Drosophila melanogaster: one gene and its partners. The protein of the gene in region 1 interacts with the protein of each later gene in a pairwise test. Each region holds a gene or a part of one and is shown on either strand. Other genes may lie near its edges. The genes, in order: twz, CG32354 and TfAP-2.

Evidence for each region.
Region 2: the proteins of twz (region 1) and CG32354 interact in a two-hybrid assay, tested with the Drosophila melanogaster proteins (one large-scale study listed by BioGRID).
Region 3: the proteins of twz (region 1) and TfAP-2 interact in a two-hybrid assay, tested with the Drosophila melanogaster proteins (one large-scale study listed by BioGRID).

Annotation. Positions count from the first base shown.
Region 1 is NT_033778.4:21,570,106-21,579,971, forward strand, and holds the start of twz (tiwaz), read right to left. Parts: upstream 5,931-9,866; 5' UTR 5,877-5,930; intron 1,704-5,876; 5' UTR 1,323-1,703; coding exon 1,312-1,322; exon of another isoform or gene 1,005-1,311; intron 720-1,004; coding exon 657-719; intron 1-656. UniProt on the Drosophila melanogaster protein: Functions with the transcription factor TfAP-2 to regulate octopamine neuronal signaling pathways that control behaviors such as male aggression, male mating, and the initiation of feeding.
Region 2 is NT_037436.4:8,411,711-8,424,568, forward strand, and holds CG32354 (uncharacterized protein), read right to left. Parts: upstream 10,496-12,858; 5' UTR 9,357-10,495; coding exon 9,131-9,356; intron 6,150-9,130; coding exon 5,129-6,149; intron 5,073-5,128; coding exon 4,875-5,072; intron 4,814-4,874; coding exon 4,270-4,813; 3' UTR 4,147-4,269; downstream 1-4,146. Other genes in the region: Exo70 (exocyst 70), read left to right, coding at 251-298, 352-517, 588-1,099, 2,508-2,572, 2,635-3,365, 3,425-3,747, 3,817-3,950, 4,006-4,108; mtrm (matrimony), read left to right, coding at 1,365-2,018.
Region 3 is NT_037436.4:21,594,038-21,603,670, forward strand, and holds the start of TfAP-2 (transcription factor AP-2), read left to right. Parts: upstream 1-4,818; 5' UTR 4,819-5,244; coding exon 5,245-5,301; intron 5,302-9,633.

The DNA of each region.
Region 1 (9,866 bases):
AACAAAAATTTGTTGTACGAGTGTGCTGTATGCATTTGGCCCGGGGGTCATCTTTTGGCCGCTTAGTTTTCGACCAGCCACAATACAACCGGTCATGCCCCCCTCCTTTGGTTCGCTTCGCGTCGACCCACGACCCCCGCCCCAGCACCATCGTATTTTATAGCCTTTAAGGTAGAAAAAATAATGCGACTCGTTCTCGTCTGCACACATAACTCAGCCGGCGGCTAAGGTTGCCCAAAAATGCCCATGGCGTATTTTGTATGATTTTTTCTCCCCATCGCCGTAGCCCGCTTCCTTTACCGCTCCCTTACCCTGGGTTACTCTTCTTACTTTTGTTTATTTCTCCTTTGGTGCGGGTACAGAGCACTTGAGGCGTATAATTTTTTTTTTTTTTTTTTTAAACAGTCTTCGTTTATGGCGCACAATTTCTGACTTGGCATGTGGGAGAGACGAAAATCAGTGGCCAGCGGCACTTTTGGCCAAAACCAAAGGGAGAGAGATCGGGTGGCCTGCAACTTGGACTGTCGATGTGCTGTTGTGTGTCAAAAATTCGTTTATTACAGAATCTTTTTTTAAACTAATTTATTGGCCAGCTCGAAGGCTGGTTGCGATTTTCGGGGCATTTTGCAAATGAAAAGTTTTCAGTTTACGCTTACCGTTTGGGGCAGGAGGAATCCACCGTCAACGGTGATCGTTGATCCAATGCAACAAACGGAGTTCTGTTTTTGGGAGGAAAGCAAAGAACATATCAGTTAGATAAATATATTTCGATTGGGTTTTGAATTTTGAGCTATTGATTATACACCTAAAACTCTTCATCTTCATAATTATGAATAAAACTCATGTTTTTTAATAAATTAACATTAGGGCAGGAGTAATGTGATAAATTGGATTTCCGTCAACATTTAAACAAATAATCATAGAATGACTTAATTGTATAATTATAAAAGGAAAACAAATTATATGTGCAACTTAAGTGTCTCTTCACCGCTCAAGAAACTCACAAAAAGGTTGGTATATTTAGGAAATGCACTTTAACTCTTTTTTAATACAACGCGCGCGTAGATAAACGATATTCGTCTTGTCCGATCTTCAGTGACCTTCGATATTCTCAGTGTGCTTCGATCTGCTGATCGCTAGTCGCTTTCGGTTGAACCCTTTCAAATTCAATCAAATGAGCGCGCGCCAACGAGTGTTTACTTCCGTTTCCGCTTGCCGTACACAACGCACACCGTTAAACGTTAACCGTTCGCTGTTCACCGTTCACCGTTAGACCTAAGTGTTGCCTACTTTTGAGCGCTGGCAATTTACCTCACTTGCATTCGCGTCGAGAGTTGCTCGAATACTGATTTAGCTCGCTGGCTGATGGATGGCGAATGGCGAATGGTGAATGGCCAATGGTTCGGCTCCCCAATGTTGCGTGTTGCGGCTCGAGTTGCGTCTTGTTGCGAGTGGGGGTGGAGTGAAGTTCGTCGGCGCTGGCGTCTGAGCCGACGACCTTGAGAGAGCAGCAGCAGCAGCAGCAGAAGCAGCGGCAAAGAGATAGAGAGCGCCGTTTGTTGTTTAGCGGCTTGGCTTTTCCACCATATGATGCCTTTGTTCGAGCGTTTAATGGTCTATTTCCGGTTTAAGTGGTCCGATCTGGCTTTGTTGTTCTTGTTTTCTTGTGGCCTGCAACTAATCTGCCGCAATTAACAATGTAACTGCAAATAGAAGAATTAGACTGCTTGGTATTATTTCGTTAAATTAGAGTTACAGCATTCGAAAAACATTGTTATGTTTTAAAAATTAAGAAATATTAATTTCTAGCTTACAGAATTTTAAAATATTTCATAAATGTAGTTTCTAATGAAAGACTCTGAAATAGATCAAAATTTGAAAATATTTTTTGGCAAGTGCATACACTAATTTAACCCAAAAGTTGCATTCGTCATGGGGGACATCTCTATATGGTCGATTTTCTATAATTGTAAATATCAAAGCCTGTTTGTTTTTGTTGCCCTTGGCCATGTGTATGCCTGTGTGTGGGTGCATGTACAGCTGACACCAGTGTGTTGGTGCGACTGCCTCTGTGTGCGTGAGCGGGTGTACGAGTGTGCGTGTTGGTGTTAATGACAAAGCATAGAACGCTGCGCCCCGCGGCCAAACGAAATGAAACTTTGTGCGGCATCAGCTCCAGAGACTTTGAAGAAGCAGAAGCAGAACCAGAACCGCCGGCATCGCCATCGGCAACGGCAACGGCAACGGCGGTACGAAGCACGAAGAACGGAGCATTGGGGCGCTGAGCTGAGCCCGCCTGGAATGCCCCGGGGTCGTTCGAGGAGCGACTGCGACGGAGGCAGCTGAAATATTTTGCTGCCCGGCGGCAATGCAAAGAAAAACTTGTGATAAATACGCCCCAGGCCATGTTTCAAAACACAAGCTGAATGGAGGCGGCGAGGGGTGTGCGGAATGCGGAGACGACGGAGCTGAGCGAGTACAGTGAGGCCTGCAGTTAGGCAGCTGTAATTAAAATGAGTGCGAACTTTCCACCCCCGCCCGCTGGAGAACGCAACGCCCGCGGGGGTGGTGGCCAAAATTCCGCCCAAGCCGAGAGTTCTGTCGCATCATTTTTCATTGGCAATTGTTTCGGAATGCTCGCTTATTTGTCCCCCGGCCATATTCATTTTGAAGTACATGCGCCACAATAATATTTCGCTATATTTCCAGAATCGGCGATCTGCCATAGAGATGGTGTACCGTGTGTCTGAATGCCAGCTTAAAGCAGGTAAGCAAAAAAAAAAAATATATATATATATATAAGGAAGGGATTTTCTTTATATCTTTTTACACGATAGCCTTTAAACGTTTTAGCTTACTACTTTTTTTATATAAATTAGGGACACACACACGTAAATTGCGAGGAGCCAACTGCAAATAATACCGGCATTAAAGTGTTCAATAAAACATGTCAAATTTTAATTGTTTCGCGTGAGCAGTGGCATTTCAATTTTTCATCCTTTATCGCAGCAAATGCGTACGACGAGTGGAAACTGTTGCAATTTTATCGCTCATTTCACTCACTCAAATGGAATGGGAAATGCTGTGGGGGGTTGTTGGGGGGGGGCTTTTATTGTTTCAAGCGGCAAAATGGGGTAGCGGGCTTCTTTATTTTGACGTCGCTTTGCGTTTTTGCCATTTTAAATATTTTTTTAATCACAAGCTCACGCACACACACACATACACACGTACACAGAGAGAGAGGCAGAGTCGTACGTATTCAGTCACTCATACACAAGCTCATACATATGGCAATACCAATATTTCAAGCCAATTTGCTGCAGCTAGCCGCCAGCGGACTGCCAACAAAATAATTCGACAAAATGTGTGCGGCGCGCTTTATGCTTTATTGTTTGGATCGCTTGGGGGCAGTGCAGTGGGGTGGGCGGGCGAAGTGGGGGGTAGGTGTATATGGGTGCAAGGAGTCACATACATCAAGTACATATGTATATACATATATATAGATATATATAGAAAGATATATATTGTAGTAAAAGAGAATCCGCGGATCAGCTCAGAAATCAGCGTCGACATTTATACACTTCCTACGCGCTCGTTTGTAATTATTTGTTGATGGCTTTTTAAAGTAGCCCGCTCGCCACGCCCTCCCGCGGGCATACCGCCCACTCGCCTGCATATTTATTCAACGCTTGTGCATTTGCTTGTCAATCAATATCATACTGAATGCTGAATGGGAAAACACAAACATTTAAATGCCATCGCATATGCTGAGAATTTCCGCAGATTTTTTTACGCCACCCGCGACCGCCAACACCATCAGCATCAGCATCATCATTATTGTGATTTTTTATTATTACTATTATTTATGTGAGCACACACTCATCATCACAAGGCTGGGCAAATGGCAAATGTGTATGATGGGCTTTAAAATATACGAGTATGTATATATGTATATGTGTGGATGGGTGCGCACACATACAAGCGAACATATATTTTTTATTATTAACGATACCCAGCGAGGAAGCAACAAAAACATATATAGCATACCCATATATACACAAGCATATATATGAAAAGGCTCATAAAATTCACAATGTCTGGCCGCGGGGCTTTTACTTAATGATGCCATTTTTGCCGCCGCAGCCTGAAATTCGTGTTAAATTTTTAACGCACGACCGAACTGCAGCGGCAGTGGCAGCAAGCGCGACCACATATCAACCATCACAGCAATTCGGGCATCCATCCGTCCACCCATCCACCCATCCACCTATCAAAATATCCACCCATCCACCCATTCACCCATCAATTCATCCATATGTGGCACAACATTTACATTAACATTTGAATGGTAATCATTTTACAGGCAATGCGTGCCAAAATGAGGTGTTTGTTTAGCTTTTAAAGCTGTGTCCTTTTTATCACTCGCTGTCCTTTAAATTGATTAAATTATCAATAGAAGAATAACCACTGAATATCCTTTTGGTCCTTCATATTATGCCATTTATGCTAAGCTTACGTTTTTGGGAATTTGTTATATTCTAAAGGATTTGGCTTTGATTTAAAAATATGTTTCGATCGAAATGCCATAATGCAGTTGACATTATTTCAATTGTTTCAGTTTGACCCAAAATACTTTTAATGCACCATTTAATTCTAATGCAATACTTAAGTGCCTTAAAGCCCATACAAAAAGGTGGGTATAAAATGCATTAAACAAACTATAATCTGCCCAAAAGGAAAAATAAATATATATGATGGAGTGACTAAATAAAATATGGTTGTTTAACACAGGATTAATATTTATTCATGCAACGTATTTGGTAAATTGTGCTGAATTGTATTTGTTGCTTTATGTTTATTAGTTTGTTTACCAATTTCTTGGGGTCGGTGAAAGCTGGACTCTCGCAAATGAGAGTGCCTTTCAATTGAGGGGGCAAAAGTGGAACGGAAAGGGGCCTCTTCTGGAGTCGATTGCCGACATCCTTTTGTCATTAGCAATGCGTGACATTTGTCATTAACTGCATAATGATTCCTATGCAGTTTGGCCAACTTCTCCAACCAAACCCAACACACACACACACACACAGTCTAGCATATTGTACATAATAAGTGTGTGCGGATGTGAGGCATGTGTGTGTGTGTGTGCATAATTTTAATGATTTACAAACTAAGCCGGCGGCGTTTTTAGCTCGAAAACTGACAGTTGATACCCAGAGACAAGCAGAATGAGGGAAATATAACGCAAAAGAAGATATAGCCGCGAGTTATGAATGGGAGAGGACCAGTTCTTTATTTCCAGCTTCTTGGGGTGGAACGAGCGAACGGAACGGAAAGGATTGCTCGAACATGCAACTAAGATGGCCTAAGGACATTCAGAGGCAGAGGCACTGGCTGAGGCAGTGGCAGAGGTAATGCCGTAGAATGGGCAAAAATATGCAAGTTAAAAATAAGTTAAGTTTGAGTGGCTGGCGGCCCTGACGCAGCGTTTTGCATATAATGAGGGTACCAGCGCCCAGCTTTTTCACACTGCTTGTCACCTGCTGCCGGACTTTGTACATATGTATGTATGTGTATTTTTGTGCATTGGTATGTATGTAGATGAATTTTGGGGGACAAAAAAAAAACTGTGATTCTTTGGCCAGTTAGTTGGTAGCTGGTTGTGGGTAATTATAGGCAAACGGCACCGGCACTCGGTGTTGTTCTTAAATTATATGCCACTCATCTCTGTTTTCTGTTATCCTGCGCTGCAGCTGCCCCGCCCACTAATGTGGACACCCGGCCAGTTGTCCAAACACGTGCCGTGCAACAAGTTACCAGGCTGGGCGAAAACAAACGCAAAAAAGCATGTGGCAATAGCCAGAGACACTGTTATTCACCTGCTGCCGTTGTCGAAGGCAAAAGCAAACACCATCGGCACAAACACACTGAACCACCGTTGAGAAAAGACTGTTTTGGGGGGGCTCGTTGGGGTCTAAGTGCCGAGTGCCGTCGAGCGTGTTGCATGCAACATGGGGCACGACGCCAGCCGCAGCAGCAGCAGCAGCAGCAGCAGCAACATCTGGCGCAGCAGCGACGGCGGCAGCAGCAAAACGGGATGTTATCAGCCGCAACGTAAACACAACCACCACAACTAAGTATCCATATCCGCAGCAGGCGACTTCGATCGCCCGTCCAACTGGCCCGTTCCCTCCAACCCCCTTCCATGCACTGAAAGAAAAAACTATCTAAAAGCGTCTGTTTGTAACTGGCAGTCCATCTTGGACAGCAGTTGGTCTCAACTCTTTCAAATTTGCTCTCAGTGAAATACTTTAATTTCCTATCTAAGCAGCCGACTTTTGTTCCAGTGTGGTTGTTAGCCAAGCTAAGCTCGCGATGCGATGCCAATGTTCGACGCCGGAGCTCCAGCTTCGGTTCACCTTCCTCCTCGCCTTGCCCGCGGGCGTTCGCTTGTAATTATAATATTTCAACCCAAATGTGACCCGGGGCCATGCGCCAATGATGGATTTCAGCTCTCTGGTCCGCTCCGCTCCCCTTTCCCCTTCCTGTACCCAGCATATAATGTGGCATATATATATATATATATATATACATATTTATATATACACCGAAGAAAGACCGACACCCGAGATGCGGAGAGGTGCGTCGTGTGGTTCCGGGGTGGCTGATGTTGCTGCTGTTGCTGTGCAATTTGGTGCCGGCGGGCAAAGCGGATTGGCCTGCGGCCAGACATGTGAATAAAATTACATTCACTATTTTATATGCCACATGGCTTGTTGTATGTATGGCATTTATCGGTGTTTATATGTTTTGCCGGTGCCATGTGGAAAAATCCTATGTAGGTAGAAATAATTGAATTGGCACATCAGCTAAATCACTCTCGTCCATGTTTATATGTGTATGTCTTTATGGGTATGCCGGCCTGGAACCGGAGACGGCGGTCAGGGCAATAACAAGATTAGATCACTGGAAGAAGAGATTGCCCCCGGCCGGCAGGCAATGGAAAAGGGTTGAGCGAAAACTAAGCTGCCACTGACAATCTACAAAGCGAGGTCCGAATGGCTGCTACGAATAGTAAGTCCCCCTTCCGAGTCCATCGTTCGATTTAAGTTTTCCTCGGAACACACAGGCAGGTGAACATTAATCAAGCCAAACAACCAAATAACTTATGGCCCTGGCTAATAGAGACATTCGGCCAACTTCGAGGCCAGAAACAAGTCGGCCGAAGCTCTGGCCGAAACTATAAACCAGTGCTCACTTAGATAAACAAGATATGTGGGAGCAATTAGTGTTTATTAATGGTGATTTTCGAGATATTTGAATTTTTGGAAAATTGCATTTCAAATGGTAGAAAGAAAAGCAATTTGCATGAATACCTAGCATTCAAGACTTTAAATATTTGTATAATACTAATTAGCTATGAAAAACTTGTATATTTTTAACATATCCGATTGATTAAGATATACAACAAGTAAGCCTTTAATTCACTTACAAAGTGTGAGAGAATTCTATGCGGTAAGTGCGGCTTTTAAGTGCCACACAACGGTAAGTAGTAGCCCATAAATGCGTCCACTTTCATGTGTGTGTGCGTGTGTGTGTGTGGCGTGGTAATTAAATTGGCATTAATTAAACTTACGTCGCTTCTGTCGACGGCGCTGCTCAAGTGCCGCTCATTAAGCAATTAAGGGATAATTATCAACGCCGCGCCGTTGCCTTTTTGCAATTTTCATGCGCAAAGTGTTAAAATCACTTAATAGGCGGCCACATCCTGGCCTTCTGCTGTTGTTGTTGTCCTTACTTCCGCCGCCATTCGTGTGCGTGTGTGTGTGAGTGTGCAAGTGTGCGTAAGCGGTTGCATGTGTACGATGTTTGTGGACGCACGCGGCTGTTTGTTTAAGTGTAGCGTTAAACGCGGCCACTGACAAGCTGCGAATGCCGCACACCTGTAAGCAATGCCATCGCCGTGTGCCGTGTGTGTGGCATGTTGGGCCAACAACAACAGCCGCAGCAGCAATAACTAATGGGTCCTCCGATTCTGTGAGCCATAAGCTCGTATTAATGCAGTTATAAGTGCAATGCTCACCCATACACATGCACGCACACACACAGTCACACCTGCACTCACACCTGCAAGCTAGCCACATACATACTGACACTTTGACTGACAACAAACCAAACAGGAGCAACAGCAGCAACATCAGCAGTTAAGCGACCGCCAACAGCCAACTGGCGAGTCAGTCAGTCAGTAAAGCAATTTACAGACATCTGTTACACGTGAGGAGTAACCACCCACTACCACGCACACACACACACACTCAACCAAACTCACACACACGAAAACGAACTGCATTCGAGCATTTAGGCGAAGGGGACGGCAGGTGAAAGGGTTGGGGATTTTTGTGGGGAAAAATCGTGCAGAATGCGTGTGAGCCACACAATTAAACGGAAGCCGCGACCAGTCCACTGAATTGAATCAGTTGTTCAGCAAATGGAGGAGCCACTGTAGTGCGGCAGATAGTTTGTAATTGTTTTGCTCACTTTTTGGCCCAAAAGGGAAACAGTTAAACGCCGACGATTAAGATCTTCAAATGGGGTGAGCTTTTTAAATCCCAGTTGGGAAAGAAGTTTATATGCTTGCTATACTTGAGCAATAAGTTTATTAAAAATCAGCAAGAATGAAAATAAGCAAGTAAAATATGAATAATAAATAAAATAAACACTTAAAAATCAGACTTAAATATTTTCTCTGCTAATTGTGTTAATTGTAATACTCAAATATTTCTTTGTTCTCTTCACACTGATTAGGCAATAAACTATTTAGGCCTCTGGTAGTTGAAACAAAACTAATGCAGCCCGCCCCTTTCGCATCTGCCTCCAGTTGGCATGTGACCCTTGTCAACTCCAAAGAGTCTCGAGTCCGTATACCTTTCCCGTTTCCATTTCCCAGCCCGGTCCCAGTTCCAATACCTGTACCAGTACCAATCCCAAATCCCCAGCTCCAGCCAAATTTCGATCCCCCCCCCCCCCCCCCCTGAACACTTTCGCCTCGGAGCAAATACAAAAGGCCTCATAAATTCCTGTTTCTGCTGTGGCCTGCCTTTTGTGGCAATGGCTACCCATGGCGTGAGATGCTGATCCGAGAGTCCGTATCCATATCCATCTCTCCAGCTCGGAGACCCCGACTACTCCGACTCCGGACCATAAACGGATTGGCCCCGAGGTGTAAAACTTGCTGTTGCTGCTGCACACTTTTCAAAAATGCCTGTCAATGCTTGACATTTCATATTTAAGTTATAATCTGCATGCATTACTTTTTGGGCCCAGAACGACAAGGGGCATGTAGAAATTTAATGGCATGCTAAATTAACTGCAGGCTAATTTTCAATAAAGCTGACAGCCGTATGTACAGGACACAAATGTGTATGATTGTGTGTGCTTGTGTGTGACGCACACTAAATTAATATAAATGAAATGAGTGAAAATGAGATGGGACGAAGCCTCATGGAAATGCCAGTTTTAGAAATTGAACAAAAACTTAATAAATACCTGCAAGCCATTCAGTTGCAATTAATAACGGGTGAGACCCCGTCCCCCAGCCTCTCCACTTACGTACTAATCAGCCACCTTGCCAACCACCCACCGCCCCACAACCACCCACTCCTAACTGTTGCCGCATCGAACATGTTGGAAACATTGAAACCAGTTTTCAAGGCTTATCACAGTCATCTAAATTATCCTTTTGCCGGCAGGATAGACCATATAAACACAACGTTCCAACATGTTGCAACTGAAGAAGAAGCAGAACAAGGGGTGCCGCCACGGGTGTGGGGCAATGCGAATGCGAATGTCCCAAGGGCGAAAACACCGAA
Region 2 (12,858 bases), on another chromosome or scaffold:
CATAGCCTCATTATCGTTTACCTAATTGTCTAAGTGTACAATATTTAAAAAAAGTTTCTATTACTATCTGAAATGACCGTTATAATTTTTTTTTTCGTGCAAAGTAGTTGGCAACGCGGTAATTGACAGTATGACCAAAGCCAGTGTGCATAAATGCCTAGTTTCGTCAAAACAAAATAAAATAGAATTGTTTTTTATATCAGAACTATTGTTTGTTTTTAAAGGATTTTAGCTACATATACGCTTGAAAATGAACAATTTGGACAGTTCATTGCAGGCGCACAATAAATTGGAGAAGGTATGTCTAGTTGTCATGCTCAAAACCTCCATACTTACCCATTTTCCTCATAGGAAGCCACCAATTTAGCTCTGCTGAAAGATCGAGTGGATAAATACCATGATCTGTCCACGCAAATGTCCAGTATTCTAACAATCTTCGAGAAGCGCCTGGGAAACCTGGAGCAGACCATATTGCCCGTCTACCAGGAGACGGAGCAGCTCCAGAAACGGCAGCAGAGTATGAAAATAAACTCAATGGGATTTCAAAAAAAAAAAACTAATGTGTCACCGCCTCTTTTTTTTTTTAGATCTGGAAGCTACTCTCAATTGTCTGGAAAGCGTCCTGTCCCACTACGATGTCTCCCAAGAGGTCTGCCAGTTGATTCATCAAGGCCCGGTGGAGGGAAACATCTCGGTGTTCCTCGACGCACTAGCCAAACTGCGCGATGCCAACGATTACTTCCGGCACAACAATTCCCAGAGCGTGGAGCTGGAGAATGTCACCAGTTTGTTTAACACCGGCTGCGAAGGCCTGAGTCAGCACTATAGTATGCTCCTCAAGAAGCACAGTGCTCCGCTGAAGCCGGTGGAGTTGCTGGATCTTATCTACATAGAGGACGATTCCAGCGATGAATACACCTCATTCCGGCAGCTTTCGCAAACGACGCGCGAGGAGCTGTACACCATATCGCACTGGTTGGAGCAAAATTTAAGGGAGTACACAAACATCTACGCGACGGAACGGGGCGAAGTGGTTCTCCGATCGCTGCAGCTGCTCAAGGATCACCAAAAGAGCAACAGTTGGGGTCACGAGGCTCTGGTGAGTAAACAGTTCTTTCATATTCTAACTAGTATTAATACATATATATTATGTGGAGAAAAATAGTACGTAGTAGAATATGAATAGCGATGTGTACGATGATGAGCATATGTATGCTTTTCCCATCTCTGATCGTTTCGGTTAACGGTGTCTGTTCGAAAAAGCTTGTGCATGTAAGCATTACATGTCCAATTCGATGACCGCCATTTGCCAGCTTGAATTCGCAAAGAACGCATCATTTTCTGTGTCACAGTATCTAAAAAAAATGGAGAATTCTCGCACGCCCACGAACAAGACCAAAATTACGCTTAATCGCACGCCAACGCTAAAGGAGCGCAGATGGAACACCCTGAAGGTGAACACCTCCAACGTGCGATGCTCTACTCCGATCTTTGGCAACTTCCGTTCGCCCAATCTCTCGCCCATCGAGAATATGGGCACGAAGGGGAAGAGTCCAGTGTCGCCCATGCGGTTCGCTACCTTCAAGAAAGTGCCAACGAAGGTGCATCCCAAGCAGCAGCAGCAGCAGCAGCATCAGCACTGCCATCGCACTCAGCTTAAGCCCCCGCCATTCGTGCTGCCCAAGCCGCAGGAGGAGATCATCGAGCCGGAGCGAGAAATAAAGAGCTGCAGCAGCCCGGATACCTGTTCGGATGACTCGAATATGGAGACCTCACTGGCCTTGGAGTCGCGTCGTCGTTCCATCAAAGCATCGAACCACTCGTACGTGGTTAACCATGCCGCCAATGTGGAACAGATTCTCATGCACATGGGCCTGGAGAACTATGTGACCAATTTCGAAGAGGCTCACATCGATCTGGTGGAACTGGCATCCTTGGAGCGTGCTGATCTTGTTAAAATCGGCCTAAATACCGATGAGGATTGCAACCGTATCATGGATGTGCTCCACACTCTTTAAGTGAATCGCTGGCATGTCCATCTTTTATCATACACTAAGATTTTAAAATGTTTTATGTGAAGAGAAACTTTGTGATTTTAATATATGTGGATAATTAAGTAGGTATTCTAGAATTATTGTAAAAGACCTGGTGTCTTAAAGCTCGTCGTTTTTAGCCTTAAATAATAAACTCTAGTACACTTTAAGAATCTATGTAATTCCTAAAATGTTGCTCCGAAGCTCATTTACAAATTTAAATTTATTTCGTAAGCTAGCAAATTGCATAATACTTTTTGTCAAAAAAAAAAAAAAAAATTGGGGTATAAACGCTTTTGTAAAACACACATTTTTAAAATTAATAAACTCATAAGAATCAAATGCATATTAAAAGGTTACAAAAATAAGAGTTTTTAATTTGCTACCATTTTAGTACCTTAATTATTCCGAAGAAACATTAATGCAATGGCAATTAACAATTCAAATTAATGTTTTTAAAATGTTTTCTTGCAGAGACCGCGACACAGTGGACGCCAAACGGAGCCAAAAAAGACAACCTCCGCTCGTCTTCAGCAAATGTGAGAAATATTACTTAATTTCCAAGTTTTCGTATATGATATATTTAATTTATTCTGCATAGATTCGAAAAGAAGGCGAACAAGTTATATTTACGCGCGACGCAGACGATTGAGCAGTCCACAGGGTTCTCCATTAAGAAGGCATCATCGCACAGCGACCACCTGACCTCCGAGGATTTGATGGATGGCGATCAGGAACTGGACAAGTATCTGGTCATGTTGCTGGGACTGCAGCGGTTACTTAACTGGGAGCGAGCCATCATGATCGACATTATTCCCCAGTCGAAACACAACGAGGTATTCGCCACCTTGGCCTATAATGCCATCGATCTGGTGGTTAAGGACGCTGAGGCCATTACGCAACGCATCCTGCGCTGCATTTCCCGCAAGGAGTGGACCTCGGCGTTGGGAATATTCTCCGCCCTAAAGCGGGTTATACTGCTGCAGCCGGATATTGACCGCACATACGATCCTGCGCAAAGGGAACAGTTGAAAAAAGTACTAAAAAAGTTGCAGCACACCGGTGCCAAGGCATTGGAGCATTTCCTGGACGTAGTCAAGGGCGAATCGAGCACCAATATTGTGGGCCAAAGCAATGTTCCAAAGGATGCCACCGTGCACGAGCTGACCTCCAATACGATCTGGTTTATTGAGCACTTGTACGATCATTTCGATGTTATTGGTTCCATTTTGGCACAGGATGTCCTGTACTCCACGCAATTGGACACCATTTTGATGAAGAAGGCGCTGCCAGTCGAGGAACGCAATAAGGCGCTCTTGGCGATTTACATAAGTGAGTGGCAACAAGATCAATTGTGCGAACATTTTTAAACCACTATCTATATTTTGCAGAGAAAGCTTTGGCCGAACTGAATCTTTCCATAATGAACAAGTGCGAGCAGTACAATGACCAGGCCACCAAGCACCTCTTCCGACTAAATAACATTCACTATATCCTCAAGTCGCTGCAACGCTCCAATCTTATTGATTTGGTCACCTTGGCTGAGCCTGAGTGCGAACATAGCTACATGGAGATGATACGTGAACTGAAGGCTAGCTATCAAAAGACCTGGTCCAAGATGCTGGTCGGCATCTATTCCTTGGATGAACTGCCCAAACCAGTGGCCGGCAAGGTCAAGGATAAGGATCGCAGTGTGCTCAAAGAGAGATTTTCTGTAGGTTTTTATTTTTAAAATAAGCTAAACTTTCTTGATTTAAAAAAAAACATCCTCTATAATTTCCAGAACTTCAATAAGGACTTTGAGGAGGCATGCAAAATCCAGCGGGGCATCTCCATACCCGATGTGATCCTGCGAGAAGGCATCAAACGTGATAATGTGGAGCACATACTGCCCATCTACAATAGATTCTACGAAATGTAAGCGTATATAGGGTTTATCAGCTTATACCTAACCATCTTGTATCATTTTTAGTTACTCTGGAGTGCATTTTAGTAAGAATCCCGACAAATACGTCAAGTACAGACAGCACGAGATCAACGCTATGCTGAGCAAGCTCTTTGATGATTCGGCTTAGATGTTAAATGCAGGCCAGGCTTTAAGTGCATTCCTTGTAAGTTCGTTGGGGGGCTTTAATTCAAACTCAATAAATATCGTTTTAAAAAAAGTACAATACAAGACTATAGCCTACAAATATTAAATGCCAAGTGAAATGAAGACGCCACGCATACATACGTCCTAGTAAAGGAAGTTAGTGGATGGTGCTTCGGGGCGGCCACAGGCGCCGTAGTAGTTGACGTTCACCGTCTGGTTCGCCCTGCAGTTTTCGATCTCCAGGAAGCAGTCGTTCAGATACGTTTTATTGTCGCTGCCGCAAACAGGCTCGAATTCCCTGGGACAGATGCGGGCACATCCTTTAAGCTGAAAGGCGGCAAGGCAGCGCTTCAGTGGCACCACGAAAACATGCTTGCCACAATTCTCCTTGCGCATGTGGCACTCGGACTTGTACAAGTTGTTGTCCGATCCGCAGACGAAACTTGGCGGCTGGGCATCACAATCCGATTCGCAGTCGGCGGTTAAAGCGCAATTCTTTAGCGAAACGGGCACCACACGCAGATCGCAAGTGCGCCGCTTGAACTCGCACATGGAGGCGAAGGTGTTGCCATCCGAGCCGCACACTGGCTGCTGTTCCAGATCCGCCCGAGTACAGGCATCCCCGCAATCCTTGGTGGGCGAATTGAGATCCGTGCAGGGACCAATGTGGGCCAGATTCACGCCGCGTCTGAAAAGAAGTTGAAGAGCTAGATCCATGTCCTATGGATGATCCTATCATGGATACTCACAGGCAGGTGGCGTGGGCCAGTTCGCACTCATTGTTATAAGTCTTGGCGTCCGTGCCGCAGAGCTTGTCATTTCGCTTCGAGCTGAAGATGGAACCGAACAAGCTATTGAAGTCCTTGCAAGGAGGCAGCTGTTTGCAGCGGGTCAGTCGATTCTTGCACTTGTCCATGCTCACTTTTTGAATGGACTTGCGCTGTGGACTGAAAGATAAAATTTTAGTCTGGTTATATTCCATTTTTATCTCATCCAAACTCACCCGCAATTGAGCATTTTGAGTTCACACAGCGAAGAGTATATGTTGCCATCACTGCCGCACACGTACTGCGACGAGGAATCCGTATCCGATTTGGGACACTCCGTGGGACAGGCATCGGAGGCTCCGTGCCTCTCCTGCGACATGCAGTAGGATAAGGGAACCTCAAAGACGTGCTTGCCGCAATTGGAAGAGCGCATCTTGCACGGACTGGCATACAGTCTGCCATCTGATCCGCAAGTGGGCCTCGCCACACGCCAGCAGGATTCCCTGCACATTCGTGTGGACTGACAGTGCTTCCGGCTGGTTTTCACCACACCCTGTCCACACGTCTTCAGCTTCATCTCGCACGTGGAGTTGTATACATTGCCATCCGATGAGCAAACTGGTCCATCCTTCGGCGCACTGTTGCAGTCAACCGGACAGGACTCACGCACGGCACTCGTGTTGCTGCAGGGACCCACATGCGATAGCTTCACTGCAGCCAATCCCACGCGACACGATTGCACCCTCAGCATGCAGCGATTCAGATAGGTCCTTCCGTCTGTACCACACACTGGATCCTTCTCCGTGCTGCAGCGGTGCTTGCAGTCCGAACCCTTCGACCTCTCGCAGCCATCCCGCACGTCCTTGATCAGCGACACTCCACTGCGGGAGCAAGTCTTCTTGCGCAGCTCGCAGATATTCGCATAGATCAGACCATCGCTGCCGCACACGGGCTCAGCTCCCACGGTGATGCTCGGTGGACAGGATCGAGGACAGTTGCCGGTGCCGGTGTTACTAGCCCTATTCCGTCTGCCCATCTGTGACAGCTGCTGTTGCTCCGTCTCCTCGCGCAGCAGCGACTCCAAGGCAGCTGCCGCCGCTCCGGGTGCCTGCATCAATGTGGACGACAGCTCCGGTCGCGCATCCTGACGATAGTTGATCAGCAATGAGTTGGGCGCCGCATCTGCACTGCGATAGCGGATAACTGGCGCCTGCGCCGGCAGCCGGATAATCTTGATGGGTGAGTCTGTCACAGCGCCTGTGGATGGAAATGATTTTAGAATTTAATTGGTTTCTATCTAGAAACTTAATTCTAAACATTTAAAGCAAGACAGTAGTTCCTCCTCCTCTGTTATATGAACTTATTAAACAAAGCTTAGTAATAATTACTACTTCCCCGCACGTAATGACCGGTTGTCCATCGAATTTTCCCAGGGTAACTCTGTTTCGAGACCGCCAAATGAAACTTTCCCTTCGCATTTTCCACAGCTCTTTAGCGGTGGCATGCGGAAGAGTCAACTGTGGGCATACAAATGTCAGATTAGCCGCACGATCATAGGGCATTTTGCGCAGTTGTGACCCACTGTGTCCATGCCGCCACCCGCCGACACTCCCCCGCATCCGAGACCAGTCTCTGATTCTGGAGTGATCGCATGACCGACTCAAGTAACCAGCCATTAACTTGAATAATTCTTTCCCTTTTTACTAACGGCAACGGCAAATGTTACCCGTCTTCAAATCTCGATTCCAAGTAAAACGACACAATGGCATTTATGTTTTGGCTGTGGTTTGAGCACAGCTAATACACTCGCTTCGTTCATACGGACTATCAGCGACCTCCATCTATAATTGTTCATGCTAATCCCCTCCAGAAATCGTAAGCTTAATCTGTGCTAAAAACTGCAAGTGAAATTTCCACACTAATTGCCTCCGGCGCCGAACATTTCTGTTGTCTTTGGTCGGATGTGGAACTGCTGGTTTAGTTTGGGTTGATTTGTCCATTTTTCTTATTTTTTTTTTTTTTTTTGTTTGCAAAGAAAGCTGTGAGAGCCGCCTCCGGAGGAAGCACTCAACTTAGTTAAAGATATACGAACGTAAATAGACATACCCAACAGCAGTAGAAAATCTATTAGCGCTCTTTGAGGCTGCCACACGATGGTTTGGCTGCGATAATTGAACCCACGTTCATTATTCCAATTTGCTGCTGCCGGCCATAAAGATGGAAATTTCAACATCCAGCCAGCCAGCCAGTCAGTCAGTCGAGCAGACGCATTCTCAGCTTAATGGACTCGGATGCTTCTCTGGCTGGATGCGAGTCCGAATCTGAATCGGAGGCATCGGCATCCAGAGGAGCCATTAAGCGCGGAGAAAATTAAGCGGCGTTAGGAATTAATGCACATGTAAACGATCCGCTGGAATGGTCAGAGGCAAAAGCCGAGACCACAGCCAATCTCATTCAGCATTGCAGCAATGCGACCTCAACCGCCCCACCCACTCTCACCAATCCTGCACTGGCAGAAAAGTGTGGTACTAGTCCTGGGATAAACTCAGAATCAAATCACTCATGCAAACTAATGGTACAAACTTATACAACACCATACACCATACTATTTTGCATTTTAAATACACCTCTGATTTACTGATTTCCTTTTGTTCATATGTTCTGCTGATTTCTCCCAGTGCAGGTGCATTTTCCTGGCCTCCAGCGAATTGCTGGCAGGCTCCTGCCTATCGGATGCCATCAATTGCAAAAAAAAAAGGCGAGAGAAATAATAAAAGCAGCCACCGTATAATTTTCAAAAGTGGAAAAATCCAGCAACCAACGCACTGCACTGCTGGGCAGGGACTTTTGCATGATATATACTGGGTATGTACATATATATATGTACATATGTACATACATATCTATATATGCACATGGAGCACACCATGTGCACTCGGTTTGCTCCGGTTTGGTGTGGCACAGTGGCGAGCAGCGACATGACCAAGCCCATAGATGAATGAATCACGGCGCCACTGATTGGGGCCATTAAAACATATATGTACATATGTACATATATATGTGTATATGCATGCGAGCATATATCACAGCATCCAAAACTAATTGATCTTTCACCCATCAATCTCCGATGAAGTGCGGTTATCAATTAGCCAAACGATCGCGCTTACAAGTCAAATAAATCATTTCGCTTCGGGTCAACTTTAAACGATGTAACCCCCCCAATTGACCCCCAACCCTTTCCAGCTCGCTGCCACTGTGCGGTCAGCTTGATTTTCCCCCCCCCCCATGAGCTAGCGATTCGCCCCTCTTCCACCAGCCCCCCCCCCCCCCTACGTTTTCAGGCCCCCGGCTTCTGTTTGGCCCCTTCGTGCTTTTAATGAATTTATACGAATGTTGGACAAATTGTGCACGAAAATATTTACGAGCATGTTGTGCGTCGAGGAGTGAGTGCCTCAAACTGGGGAGTTCGTGGTCTAGGGGGCGGTGGGGGGAGAGGTGTTGGGGCATTGGAAGCTTCGCGCTCGTGTATGTGTGCCAGTTTACATTCACTTTGTGCGGAGTAGTACCTTAGAAATGGATAGTTGAATAGCTGCTGCGACGGCCTTTCTACCACCGCACAGCTGTAGGTCTTAGATCCGGACCCCGATTCACCTTCTCCGTTTCAACACCCGGAGAAATTAGGCGGTAATTGAGACGGCACTCACTGGGACTTGTCCAGTCTGTCTGCAACTTTCATTTAGCTCAAGATCAGTTGCCGTTTTCCGCTGAAGAACTCGGGTTTCCCTAGAACTCTGTCCGCAGTTTTAACTGCAACTCAATAACGATGTGATAGTTAGGAGAAAGTACATTTAGCAAGAGGAAAACTAATACCCTTTGAAACTTGTATTAGGCCCTTTTAAATGTAATGTTAACTAATCTGGATTTAAATAGAGCATTCTTTACTTTAGCAATGGCTTAAGAGTTCCATAGTCAGTTTTCTCTTTTATGATTATATTGGACTTAATGCTCTGCTTAAGGAACCTAGTTTTATCTTAATCTGATTTTAATTTAGTTAGGAGGAACTTTGCTGAATCTGAATCAACGTATACTTCTTTAGCTGATTCATTTCTTGAGGCAATTAAACAATTTGAATAGTGAGAATGCCAGGAAAGAGATTCGAATGATCTAAGACTACTTCCTGTGACTTTCTACTCAACGTGTAGCACCAATTTTGGGATTTCTCGCAGTGTACGACTTACCACTGGTGGTTGACGCAAATGCCGCCAACGTGAACATGGCCAAGAGTGCGCCAAACAGCTGTCGCTGGCTCTTGGTGCCGCCAAAGCTGAGGCCCAGACTGGGGCTGTGGTTATGGCTGCATCTGGCGATCTGGCTTGGAGTCTGGCCAAGTCCGTGGGCCTGTGTTTGGGTGGCGTTTGGGGCGGGGGGCTGCAGATGCAGATGCAGATGCTGTTTGTGGTGCATTTTCGCTGGCTGTCTGCTGCACTTTTCCTATTAGACGCTTGATGATTTGTTGTTGCCGCTCGGATCGGATGCGTGCGTGATGTGAGACTGAGGCGTGCGGCGCTTTCGCTCGTTAACAATTGAAATTGAAATAGTAGCAAACTTTTATGCGGCTGCGGCTCACGGTGGATGAAAGTTTTTTTTTCTCTTCCTCGGTCGATCTACCAGGGAGATAGAGATATAGTGGTGCTATATAGTATATGGACTATATAACTGCTCGTAATGGCGCTTAAGCTGTTCGAATTAACGGTAATCTTGCGGTCATTTGGGCCTGGCCTGCTCTTCTTCTTCTTCTTCCTGCTCTTCTTGTTAACCGATGTCGTTGTGTTGCCTTCTCTCTCTCTCTCTTTAGCGCCCTTTTACGAGTTCATTCGTTTGCCTATCAACATCAAGCTCCCGTGTCTTACGCTGTCTTCTGTCTCTTTCGCTTTTCCCTTTGCCTGCCGGGCACTTGACCTTTTCACACAATCGCACAATGGAGCATAATTTCTTTTTTATCGCCTTGGCTTTATGGCTTTTTCTTGATGTTTTGTGGATTTTTGCACGGCCCGCCTTTAATTTGATTTCAATTACTGGTTCTGGTAAGGCTTTATTTTCCTTTTATTTGCTTTTTATAACGTTTTTCTTTTTTTTTTCGTTTCTATTATGCGCACAAAACAATTCGCTTTTGTCCGTTACTCTTTTGTCGTTTGAATTTGACTTTGATGCGCGCTCTTCGAGTTTCGATTCGCATATGAAAAATGATCTGTCTTTCGGATTTCGATGCTGCTGCTACTGTTCTGCCTCGGCCGATGCCTCCGCTGACGCCTACTGCGACGCCGACTGCGACTGCAACTGCGGCGATTGCATTTCGTATTTCATTTCTTCTTTTTTATTGTTCTCGAATGAATGAATGAATGAATGGGCACTAACACACTCGCGCTCGCATCCGATTTGTACAATTCGTATTGTCGTCTTTGCCTCTGTTTCTTTTTTCGCCTTTTTAACTTTTTTCTTAGGCCTTTGTTTAGTGCGCTCTAGAGTCGCTCTGAAATCTCGGAAAGCTTGGGCTCCAAATGCGACTGGAAGGTTTGACAATGCGCCGACGAATGGCAAAAAATTTGCAATGAAAAGAAATTTATATGGGTGAAAGGCAGCGCAGTCGGCGACGGCAGAGCAGAGCATCCAGCGCTGTTGTTGTTGCAGCTACACTCGAAACAATTCACTCATCTTTTGAATACTAAATCAAGAGTATTTCCAGTTAGGACAAAAAGCACCGCTTTCTTTAAGTTTTTAAAGTTGAAAAACAATGAAAAAATAAAAATATATATGAATAATAATAAAAAAGTTATAATGTACAATAACAGCAATGGTGGATTGTAAAAGGATACAATTCAAAGATATGCATGTCTGTGCAGTTTCAAACTTTCAAAATGTAACATATATTGAGAGCAGTAAAGAGAGCAAGTAAATTTAAGTTAAAAATGTAGTCTAGTCTTGATCTTTTTGAATAGACCTATATTTCTTTTTAAACTTTAACGGTTTACTACCACAAGTTTTTCGAGTGCATTGTTGGGTGCCGGGGCATATTGATTAAATGGAGTTGTTGGTATTTAAAATAACAACTTGGTCATGTCTGCCTGGCCTAATCGGTTTTGCGTACAAATTTAATTTGCCAAAAGTGGCAGCAAAATGCAGCCAAAAAGGCGCGCCGCATTTGAAATTATAACTCACACACTCGATTCGATTCGATACGATACGATTCGATCGGATCAGATGCATCCACATCCACGTCCGTGCTCCCCCAACATCTCCGATGCCCAAACCCAAGCCATACCATCCCACATCCAATATACAATATTCACGATCCGAGTCCACGATTCAGTTGCAGTGGCATTGGCATTGGCAGTTGCAGTTGCAGTAGAAAGTGCAGCCTGGAAGCTGTGTTTATAGACTTGTAGACTTTAAAGCCATAAATTTTACGCCTCAGCGGCCGTTGCGAATAAGGGTCACACACACATAGCCTACTATCACCTTGCACAGTGTCCTGATGCCAATTTAAGGTGCATGTTTACTAATGCATTCACACAAAAATATTTGATTTTGGCATAGTTTAGCTATTAGAGCTTAGACCTTATCTAATTGTCTTAGGTATTATATATTTGATATAATAATATTTTAGTTAAGTAATTCTAGCTTATGTTAAAAGGAATACAAAGTAATGCTACCCAAATAAATAACTTGCTAGTAACATAAAAAATGAAGTTATATTTTAAACTATAAATAGTAAGTAAATAAATGTTCTTAAGCAAAACATAATCCTTAATCTTTCATGGTTCGGGACATATGAGCTTTAAGTTAATATTCAATCTTTTTAAGAATTTTAATGTTGCTTTTTTTTCTTACGAGTACTTTCCCTTAAAACTTTGTGCAATAAATCATCATTTTTGGGAAATGCGTTGTGGGTGCTTAAATTCCACATGTTTTGGAACCACTGTGCGCTGGCGGTGGGTGGAGGAAGGTGAAGAAGCAGATCATTGGCGGCGGAGTCGCGTGCATTAAAGAAAATTGAGTGGAGGTGGAGGTGGAAGTGGCCGTCGCATGGGAAAAGAGGTCAGTAAGTGAATGTTTACAGTTAGCTTTTTGGGCAGATCAGAGAGAGCCAGGTCCAAAACAAAACCAAACAAAACAAAACAAAACATAATGCCGAGCCGATCTCAGCTCGACGGAAAAAGCCAAACTGCATATGACAGGCGTGACTCGGCTTTAAGCGCCAGTGCCCAGAACTAATACCCCAAACACGACGAGCTGCAGATCCCATAGAAATGAGGGGGACAAACCGCAGGAAAAGACCGCCAAAAAAAAAAAAAATAAATAAGAAACTGAAAACAGAAGAGCAAAATTTAATTAAAAGAAAGCCAGGCTGGCGCGGAGACGTAAAAACCTTTTGGCAGCCGTGCAGTTTCTTTTTTGGCCAAATATTTGACGGCGCTCGCCTGCGGTTGCCAATAAAAATGGAAAGTGAAAATTGCGGCTGCAGTGGCAGTGCATATTAAAAAATAGAAAGATAGAAACAGCCGTTTGTGTGCGAAAAGATGGCCATAATAAACGATAGAAGGCCAAAGCCACGCACCAGTTCTGCGGGTTTTCTTTCCATCTAATCACTGTTTTTTTTTTTTTCCCGATCGCCAACCAAAACCAGTGCGAGTATTATATAAATAATGCCCGGCATGCTGGATCGGCCGATAAACGGCGGAAATTATATGGCAAGGGGAGAGTTCGCGCCTCTGCAGGAAAAATACGTACATACAAAGTATATCCTCAAAAGGAAAGAAATACTTTGTATGGCGCATCAATTTCCAACACAAGTCGCATTTAAGGCGATAGTTGATCGATCATCTAAGACTTAAAATTAAGTTGATGTATATGATACAAGAAATAGTGCCTTCCTATGTATTGTACTATATTTAATTTATAAAACGTG
Region 3 (9,633 bases), on another chromosome or scaffold:
TGTTCTATACTCAGGTCTTAACTTCTAGCCAGTCAGAATCCCATTATTTTATAGGAATGTGATGGGTTTCAATGTAATGCATTTAATTTACAAGTATTACGAAATGGCATAGATTATTTTAATCAATAAAGAATCGGTATCTGAAACTTTGGGCTATCTTAGGATAATCCTTTCACTCGATAGTGTGTGTGTGTGTGTGCAGGCGAGCGATATGCTCGCAATTTATGTACGCAATCGCAATCTACGGTGGGTAAACACAGCTGCAAATGCGTTTCCTTTGACCTCGAATTTAAATGGTCCGCCCTGGTGCTCCGCGCTCTATCGCCTATCTGCTCGTACGCCGAATTGCGAAAAACAGAGCGGATTAAAGGTGCACATGAGCACAGCCGTAGGAAATATGCTGCAAACATCCGCCATCCGCCATTCGCCATCCGCCTGCTGCAACTGCATCTGAAAACGCACACACCGCCGCACAGAGAACCTCGGTCGGAGCTGGGGCACACTGAAAGAAATAAGCGGTGCACTGTCCCGCTCAGGCTATCACAATAGATTTTGAGTTAGTTCGTATACATAACATATATACGCTTTTCATGTTATGTCGTGCATTAGCCAGTCACAGTTTTTTTCCAGTGCAGGTAGGGGCAAAAGCTGGGCAGCAGTAGAGGACAGGAGGCTGGAGGAACCCAGGACTGCGACGAGCGCGGCTCACTCGCTTATCTTCCCCGCGGCTATTGGCGTCGTGCAACATTGCAGGAGCCGGAGCAGGAGCCTTTTCCTGGGCCTGCGCTGCTGCTGCTGGAAGACCGGCCAGAAGAAGAGGAAGGAGGACCTGGCGAACGGACGAACTGGCGAACTGGCGAATGAGCGAAGAAGCGACCATGGGCCATGGGCCATGGGCCACGACCATGTCGCTGATGATTCGCATTCGTGTATCGCAAGCGGGCCACAGCCGCAGCTTTTGGCTTCCCCCGAAATTTGAATCTGCCTGCATCTGAGGACTTAACGAATATGAACGAAATGGCCCGGGGCTGTTTCAAAATATTACCACACTCGAGTATTCGAGCAGGGCTACGTACTACATATACATGCGTTGGACTCCGAGCCCAAGTGAATGCGGAAAATTATGGCGAGGTAGTTGCAGATACAAACACTCAATCACAAGGGCTCCATTTGCATACGCCGCTCCCCCCGCCCAAGTCCAGTCCAGAAATCCATGAGGTCTAAGCAGTCCCATTAGCCATAACCCCTAGAAATCTTAGGCTCTGTCCTGGAAGTGCCTATTCCTTTCGCTCTGAGGGATTGTTCCATTTAAGGGCCTTCTGCTCTAAAGTTACGTTCGTTAATTAGACATTTTTCTAGATGCATTGTGAGCGGGGGAATTTTTAGTGGGCTTATTCAGAATAAATCTTTGGGTTATATTCTACTTATTCGAATATATACTTACTTCTGTCTGTGTGTAATCTTAGAAGGAGATCAATCGAATAAGCAATAGATGATCGTGGTGTTACACCATATATGTACATAAATTCTTTCGAAAAATTCAGAAATGTAATTAGATCTTCAAGTGTACGGTTTTTAAAAAGATTGTATTGTAGTAAATATATCTCAGTACTAGATTTAAAAGTGATGATTTTTGTTGAATTGCCTAAGAAAGTAAATACCTTTCAACATTATTTCCCATGCTACAATCTAATTACATTTTTGGTTGCACATCGTCTGTTAAAATTTTCGGAAAATCACCACTCGAGAGCTGATTGTGATTTGCATGTGGAATGGATTGAAATGGAATGCACTTGTCTGCGGCCGGCAAGGCGGACCAAAAAGAGCGGCTTGCCGCTAAAGGAGTCGCTTGAAGTCGGAGTAAGTGCCACGAAGCCACAAGTCTGGGCAGTAGTCATGCAAGTCCTGCGGCATTCACGAGTTTCCCCCCGGCGATCGCATTTAAGACGCATCTTAAATGAGGTGCTCAGGCCGAGTCCTCCACTCTTGGGCAGTTGCGATCCCCAGCTCCTCGGCTCTTGGGTTAGGAGCCTCCCGGTTAAGAGCCAGCTTATGACTGGCTCAAAGAAAGCTGCCATTTTCGGGAGTGCACTGGTATGGGTTGGGATGTGGATGTGGATGAGGACGTGGATGTAATTGTGGCTGCAATGGTGTAGGTGTGCGGGTCGGTAGTTGGTAGTTGCACAGAGGTGTACTTGGGTGCATTTACCATGGGCACACGGACCACTGTGCATCACGATTTATGCCCGGTGCTGCGGGGAGGACTGGGAATTAATTGGTAATGCGAGCAGTGCATCAGTATCAGTATCCGTATCAGTATCGGTTTTGGCTTTGCCTCGGCATCCGAATCGGGTCTGAAAATGGCGGACCGATCATCGATCGATCGATCGATGGATGGATGGATCGATCGATCGTTCTCTTGTCGTGGCCGCAATCAAAAGTCGTGCCGCCGCAATGAAATCGCTGAAATGGAGGTGGGTCGTCCGGCATTCCACCGCCGCAATTGGATAATGCACCTGATCGCCGCTTCCACTCCACTGCACTCCACTCCACGAAATTTACTGTTTGGCCAGCTCCTCCGAGGTGGCTTCGTGAGTGGCTCCGCGTACATAATGTGCATGTGCAGTCGGCGAGATCACGGTTTCACATCTCATTTCGCCCTGCCACAAATTCGGACTTAATGACTGCGTGCCCGATATACTTTTCCTCCGAGCTTCGCTCCTTCTTTCTCGGCTGAACTTTGCTCTGCTCCCCTGGCAACAGAAGATAGGAGCCCGAATCCATTTGAGTCACTTAGAAAGCTAATGGCATAATTCAATTGGGGCGGACAAACATTCAAAGCTCGGGTTGGGCAATCCGCCGAGTGATTCAATTTTCCACAGCCGCTAATCCTTGTCCCGCTTACTGGCGGATCTAATTGTGTAACCTGAAAACAAAGCAGGAATAAATGAAATGAATGTCTCTTGAGGATTGCGACGCTTACTTTCAGCTTTTCAGCGTGGTTAATAGAACAAGGAATTCAAATGATGGAGATTCATACAGAACACCACGTTGATACTAAAGATTTATTCCTGGTGCTCAAGACTTATCTAAGTCAGCGCCTTTTTAACCCAACTTTCACACTTTAACCAACTTTGTTGATTTCTATGGCCTACTAACACATGTAACTTATAAAAAGGTCTGCTGGTCTAAACGGTGGCAATGGTTGTATTTTATGTTAATTGATTAAACTTTTTTTGCAAAGTCCATATTTTTGGATAGTTTGACACAAAACAATATTGACGAATAAGAATTTTCAGTATGTTTCATTACCTTATTGCTATATTCATGAGTTTGAGTAATGAACTAAAGTTTGCAAAAAGTATTTCGATGCCTTAACAATATCATATAATCGATTTTCTTGCCATCCAAAATTTTTCCTTATTTTCATCTCTATTACTATATTTTTATGGCTTCGCATATGAAAAGTCGTTGACTTTTGTTATTATTATAATTGTTTCATGAAGTACTTATAAAAATCTAACAAATAATTGACTAATTAGTTAACTATCAATATTTAATTTTAAAAAACATCAGAATGGGTAACTTCTATAGCTCTGAAGTTAGTGAAACATAATAGTGTTCCTGATTTGAAGTTGTGAAGCACCTGTCCTTAAATTAATTTTCTGATTTGTTTCGATTTTTTTAATTATAATCGTTGTAAAACTAACTATACTATTTAGATAAAGGTTATTAAAGCGGGACACAAGTAAGAAGTTTGCTTGTTATAAGTTCATTGGCAAGCCAAAATAGTTTGTTTATAGTGAACCTTTAATTTTAAAGAGTGCTTTAATTGTCCTAAGTTCCTCTATCGTGTTATATATAAAAGGGAATTTGTAAATTAGAAATCTTTAAGCATGCGAAGTGGCCTGCTGTTGATTTTCCGTTTGTTTAATCGTTTACAAAAATTTTACCCTCAAATGTTCGAAAGCTACAGCCATAGAAAAAATAAAAATCTGCTATTTTCAGTTTGTTTTGATTATGGCGAGCAAGGACCCACACTCACGCCCTTACATATATGGGTAGATTTTTATGTAGAATATGTAAATCGGGCGGACAGCCTCTTTCACATGGCAACCCCCGAACGTTCGATAAGTACGTAGATACATACATACATAGGTGGGTCGCTTAATCCCCGAGAGAAGAAAGAACCCGGAGCACGTACCACTGGCGATTTGGGCGTCCAATGCCGGGGTTTTCCCAGTAGCAGCCCGGGCTCAGAGATCCAGCAACCCTCGGGGCACGGGTGCGTCGCCAACCCCGGCCATTCGCATGCGATTCCACCCCTATGTATTCGTATTCGTATCCGTATCGCACTCGCATCTCGCGAGCATCCGCATCTGGCAGTGTGGCTGTGTATCCGCATCTGTGTGTCTGTACGCGAGCTGCGCTGCCTGCCGCAGCCTCTGGGTTTTCGGTTTTCGGGCTCGGCCCATTGTCTAGTAGTCCGCTGGCGGGGCGTGGCTTCCGAAATATAAATGGCTGTGCTCTCTTTGGGCGGCGGGCTCTCTTCGGAAGCCGCTCTTCGATGCCCGAAAGCCAGAAAACCTGCTTGCCCGGCGTATCTGTGTGCGCCTCACACCCATACAGACGCGCGGCGCACGGGCATAGGCTTTGGGCACTTTTCCTATGTATTTCGCAGCTGTATGGGAGAAAAAACGGCAGCAGCCGCGGCAGCAGCAGCATCTGCAGCAGCAGCAGCAGCAGCCGCCGCCGCAGCAGCAGCGGCAACATCGCACATCCCCCGAAGGTTTTTGCGTCCAACCAGAAAATCCAACTTCAGTCGAGAACTACGTCTGGTGGCTGCGCAAAGGCGGAATTTCGATTGCGGGTCCTCGCTTAATTAACCAAACCAAACCAAACCGAACCGTACCGAACCAAAACCGTACCGAAACCGCTCCGTTCCGTTCCGAACCGATCCGCACCTAGCCGAACCGAAACGATCGTGGATCCGAACTGCAAATTAGTTCAAATACAATTAAATCACGTCTATTGTCCTTCAATCGGGGAGAGTGCAGTGTATATAGCGGCGGATACGGAACTCTAGCTCCAGCACCCACAGTTGCCTTAACCAGTGCCAAAAATCGATTTTCAATAAATACTTATTTAGTGATCGTACCTGTTTTGCATTGGCCCTGGCCCAAGTGTTCAAAAGAAAACCTATGCTCTCCAACTAGTTGATATCGCCGTCTAATTTGGATCAACATGCACATTCTACACCGCACCAACGACCATCAGTTCGAGGATCAGAAGTTCATGATGGTAAGCTGCGCGCCTTTTGCAGGATACTTCGATCGGAGGAGGGTCGGGTCTATCTATCCAAATTGTCTGTCAGCCGAAATCTGCCCAGGCTAATCCCCGCCCGAGCATCGGCGCAGCTTTAGCTACTCAAAATACTCAAAGATATTGAACCATCGAGTGCCCATGGGCGGACGAGCTTGATTGACACTGAAATTTCTTTGGGCATTTTGGGGCACGCAAGCCTTAAAACCATTGGCCAATTACGACCATTGGCCAGCGATCCGGACCGAGAGATCTGCGCCCGTGATTCACATTCACACACAAGCTGATTACCATTCCGGGCCATTCTAGCAGCAAAATCAATGAGCAATTTACAGTAATGGGTTCTCCTGCGACTCCGTGTGGCACACTCTGCTCTGGGAATAATAAGTACATAAACTTCAACCTGATTGTGCCCACTCCAAGAGTCCGGGGATCACTCAAGTGCCCAAGAGGGTGTGGGGCCCCGAAAGCAGACTGCGATCACAGGCGCATGCAATTCTCTTGTAATTAGAGGTCTTAAACCTTGAAAATGCATCTTCAAATTTAAATTGACTTTTTAAAGTAGGCAGTCTTAAACCTCAAGGAGTCTATTTAAAAATTTTATTAAAGTCAGGATCTAAAACCTGAATACAAACGGTGTTTGTTTATGGTAATCAGACATTCAAGAAGTCAGTTTGCTTTTTTTGTTATCCTAGTCGAGATGCATTGGACACAAATGGACCAAATCGAAATCAAATGTGCATATTCGTATTCAGATTAGGTAATGTTCGATCAGTATCAAAGTATTAATTTTAGTTTCCCAGTATCCTTATAGGTTTTCTTGGGCTGAAAACTCTTTACTAAATGCAATTCTCTATTCAAATATTATAGGGCGACAAGACTAAAGAATATAAAATCTTATTGAAAAAGCCAATGGGTCTGTTAACTTATTTTATTTACTTGTAATTGAGAAACATACCCTTAAAGGATGCAATGTTAGTTGCACTCATTTTTAATTTTATTCTGTTTTTTGAACGGGCAATTTGGAATCATTTATTTTTTAAGACGGCAAAAGTAGCCGTCGGAAAGACGAACCTTAAAACTGTAGCTAGCATATGTATATGTATGTGTATGAAGTCCACTGTTTTTAGAGTAATGATTCTTGAAATCTTTTTAATCTTCTTTTAAATTTCATATACAAATTTATCGTACAATATTTACAGTCTTTGATCGTTTATAATATCTATAACTGTAAATGTAAATCCAAGAGAGAAAGCCATGTTATGCTTTCTATGTTATTTCGATTAAAGTCTCTATAAGATTTGTACTCTTAGTATTAGTATTTGTATCATCAGACATAAGCCTCAAATTAAGCGGTTTGGCTGTTTCAAATATGTGCGTTATGGGAGGGAAACCGTATCTGAAAGTAAAAAAGGTCCTACATTTAATGCACTCACGATTTCGAGGCAGAGAGCAAAAAGTGACGGCGGTGGGAGTGATCAGACGTCAGTGGTCAAAATTCAAATGCGAATATGGAGGAATTCTTGAAATGCGTGGGTACACGCTCCCCCATTTAATTAGCGAAATTATATGGTGTTCTTGCTTCCAAGAACTTTTTCGATGCCCGATAAAAAAATAGGGCAATTTGCGGGGCAAGGGCCAAAGATCAAAACAAAAACACAGCGAAGAGGTAGACCAAAAGTCATCGCCCACAAAAATCCGAGTCCCGCCAGCAAAGTGGGCATGTCGAGTGTGTTGGCATTAGCTTTGGTTTTGGTTTGGTTTGGTTTGGCTGGTCCTGGTACTGGTCCTGGACCTGTCCCTGGCACTCCGAAGACTCCCAAATCAGGTAAGATCCCACTGGGACACTCGCGTGATGCGTTGCCAAAATAATTTATGAGATTGAAGCGCAACGCATCGTCAATTTGCGTGCGATCGCCAACTAAAAAAAGAATGCCATACAGACTGGCAGAAAAGTTCCCATAGCCCAGCTCCCAAATATCAAAAAGTATTCAGCATTGGGCTTATTTATTAGCCAAACTCCGTTTCATCCAAGAGGTTCGGGCTCAAAGCCTGATTGATGGCTTCCCTTATGATTTATTGAATAATTTCTTTATAATTTAGAATAATTGTTCCAATTTACAATGTGCACTTTGTAGGATTGCGAGGCATGTTGGTATGGTAATTGTGCGCAGGGCTAGGGATTGCATAAAGAAATGAATAAGCGCCATTAAACTTTCCCCCACTTCCAGATGCAGGAATACTATAGTCTTGATTAAAAGTAAATTATATAAATGGAACTAGAGGAAACTCGCAATAAGATGAATGAAACAATTTCGATAGGATCAGAGTGTAAGACCGATCCGTGTTCATATTTGCATATTCGCATATCATATTTATTATTTCGCCAGTGCGGGCGAGATAATTCCGAGTCCTTTGCATCCGCTGGAAGGCATTTCCGCTTCCACAGACATGCAGATACATCCTCGGAGGAAACTGGAATTGCATATGCACGCATCAAAATTGATTTCATTTGCGGAGAGGAAATTAAAAAGTCCAAACAAAACCAAATTGATTGGCAAGATAAATGTAAATGTTCATAACGTGGCCAAGATCCTCAGCACAATCCAGAATCAAGTGTCGGAACCTCGACGATGTGGACGGCGTGTGTTAGGCTCGTGGCAAACCAAAACCAAAACCAAAGCCGTGCAAAGCACCACATCCACATCCTCGTCCGATGCCAAAAGCCAAGGCAAGAGCGAAATCATCGGTTGGCCGACATGCGTTGGCCTTGCCTCCTCGGAGGCAGAATGTGGAGGATGGGGAGGCCAGACCTGCAGTTGGCTCACGAGGCTGCTGCATCGAAAGCCGGCCCTTTGGACGCAGATTGCAAACGGACGAGCCGAGCTTAGCTCAGTCGAGTTCGGAAGAAGCTACACAGGGAGAATCATTGGGTTGTGAGGAGCTCAAAAGGAGATCACAATGCCAGTGCATGTGGAGTTCTTGTAATCATAGTTTCCAATATTTCTTGTTTATCTTATAATAGTATAATATAGTATTAAAAAGCAATACATATATGTAAGTTTATCGCATGGTCATATTTCAATTTGCAGAACGAAGTAACCTTAGTCCTATGTATAATTAGTAGTGAATACTATATACGGAGATTCATGTAACATATCGTATAATTTGCATACTATACAGCAGCCCATAAACAAAGTGGTTCTCTTACAACACTCTCGACCTTTTCTCGCAGTGCACATGCATGGTCGCCAAGTGGGCACTTTCGGCTCGTCGTTCTTCTATTCGTCATCTGCACGCTAGAAGATGGGACGCAGCTTTTCGATTTTGGCCGAGCAGGCTCCGCAAATACCCAGCAGGTTTAATACATTTATGAATGGGTTTTACTACTTCATTAAGGGCTCCTCCGCTCTTCCGCGCATTTGAGGGCCAAGGAGCTGGAGCTGGAGCTCGAGCCGAAGGAAGAGACTGAGGATCCAGCCGAGCTCCAGCTCTGCGGATTGGAGCGCGTGCGCAGCCAGGAGGAGGAGGAGGACGAGCAGGGCAGGAGTACCTGCAAGAATCGTAATAAGCAGAAATCGATTATCGTCCGCTGAACATTTCCATTGTTGTTATGAATATTATATGCAGCGTTTGGAGCGAAGCTTCCTCTTAAATTCGTTTAATTTATAGCTCTTCCGACAGTTCCAACTTGCAGTTCCAATAAATGACAGCACCGGACGTCGAACGAGTGTGTAATCTAATTGGAAACGAGCGCGGCTTAGGGACCCACTGTACTGCCGGTTCGCGGATGGCCAGTGCAGACCATATGTAAATTCGCGCCCGAAATGCGCAGAATGGATTCTTTATTTACTGACAATATTATGACAATGCCCGCATGAACTCGGCCTATTCTATGGCCGCAAGGCGGTCCTTACGCCACTCGATGTTTCCATATAACCTGGTCACATCCCTCCAGAGTATTGAGGTCCAGAGGGATGCCCTCCTCCCCTTCCTGGAAGCCCACCATCATTCAACTTGACAGCGTAATTAAAACGACTGGTCCACACGATGAAAGTGAGGAGTTTTATAAGATGTTAGGGCCTACTTGTTTTATATGTCGCAATATAATTGGTGGCATCCAAAACCCGGAGACCAGGTAGTGGCCGAAAAAAATGCGAACATCGAATCGCGCAGGCATGTTCTTTTCTTGGGCGGGCACTCTTCTGCCAGGCGGAATGATTTGGACCGGCAATTTTGGTAATAGCGGCATGCCGGGATCGAGGCCAGCTCCTGTCCATTGCACTGCTACTGTATAAGTATCCAGAGTCA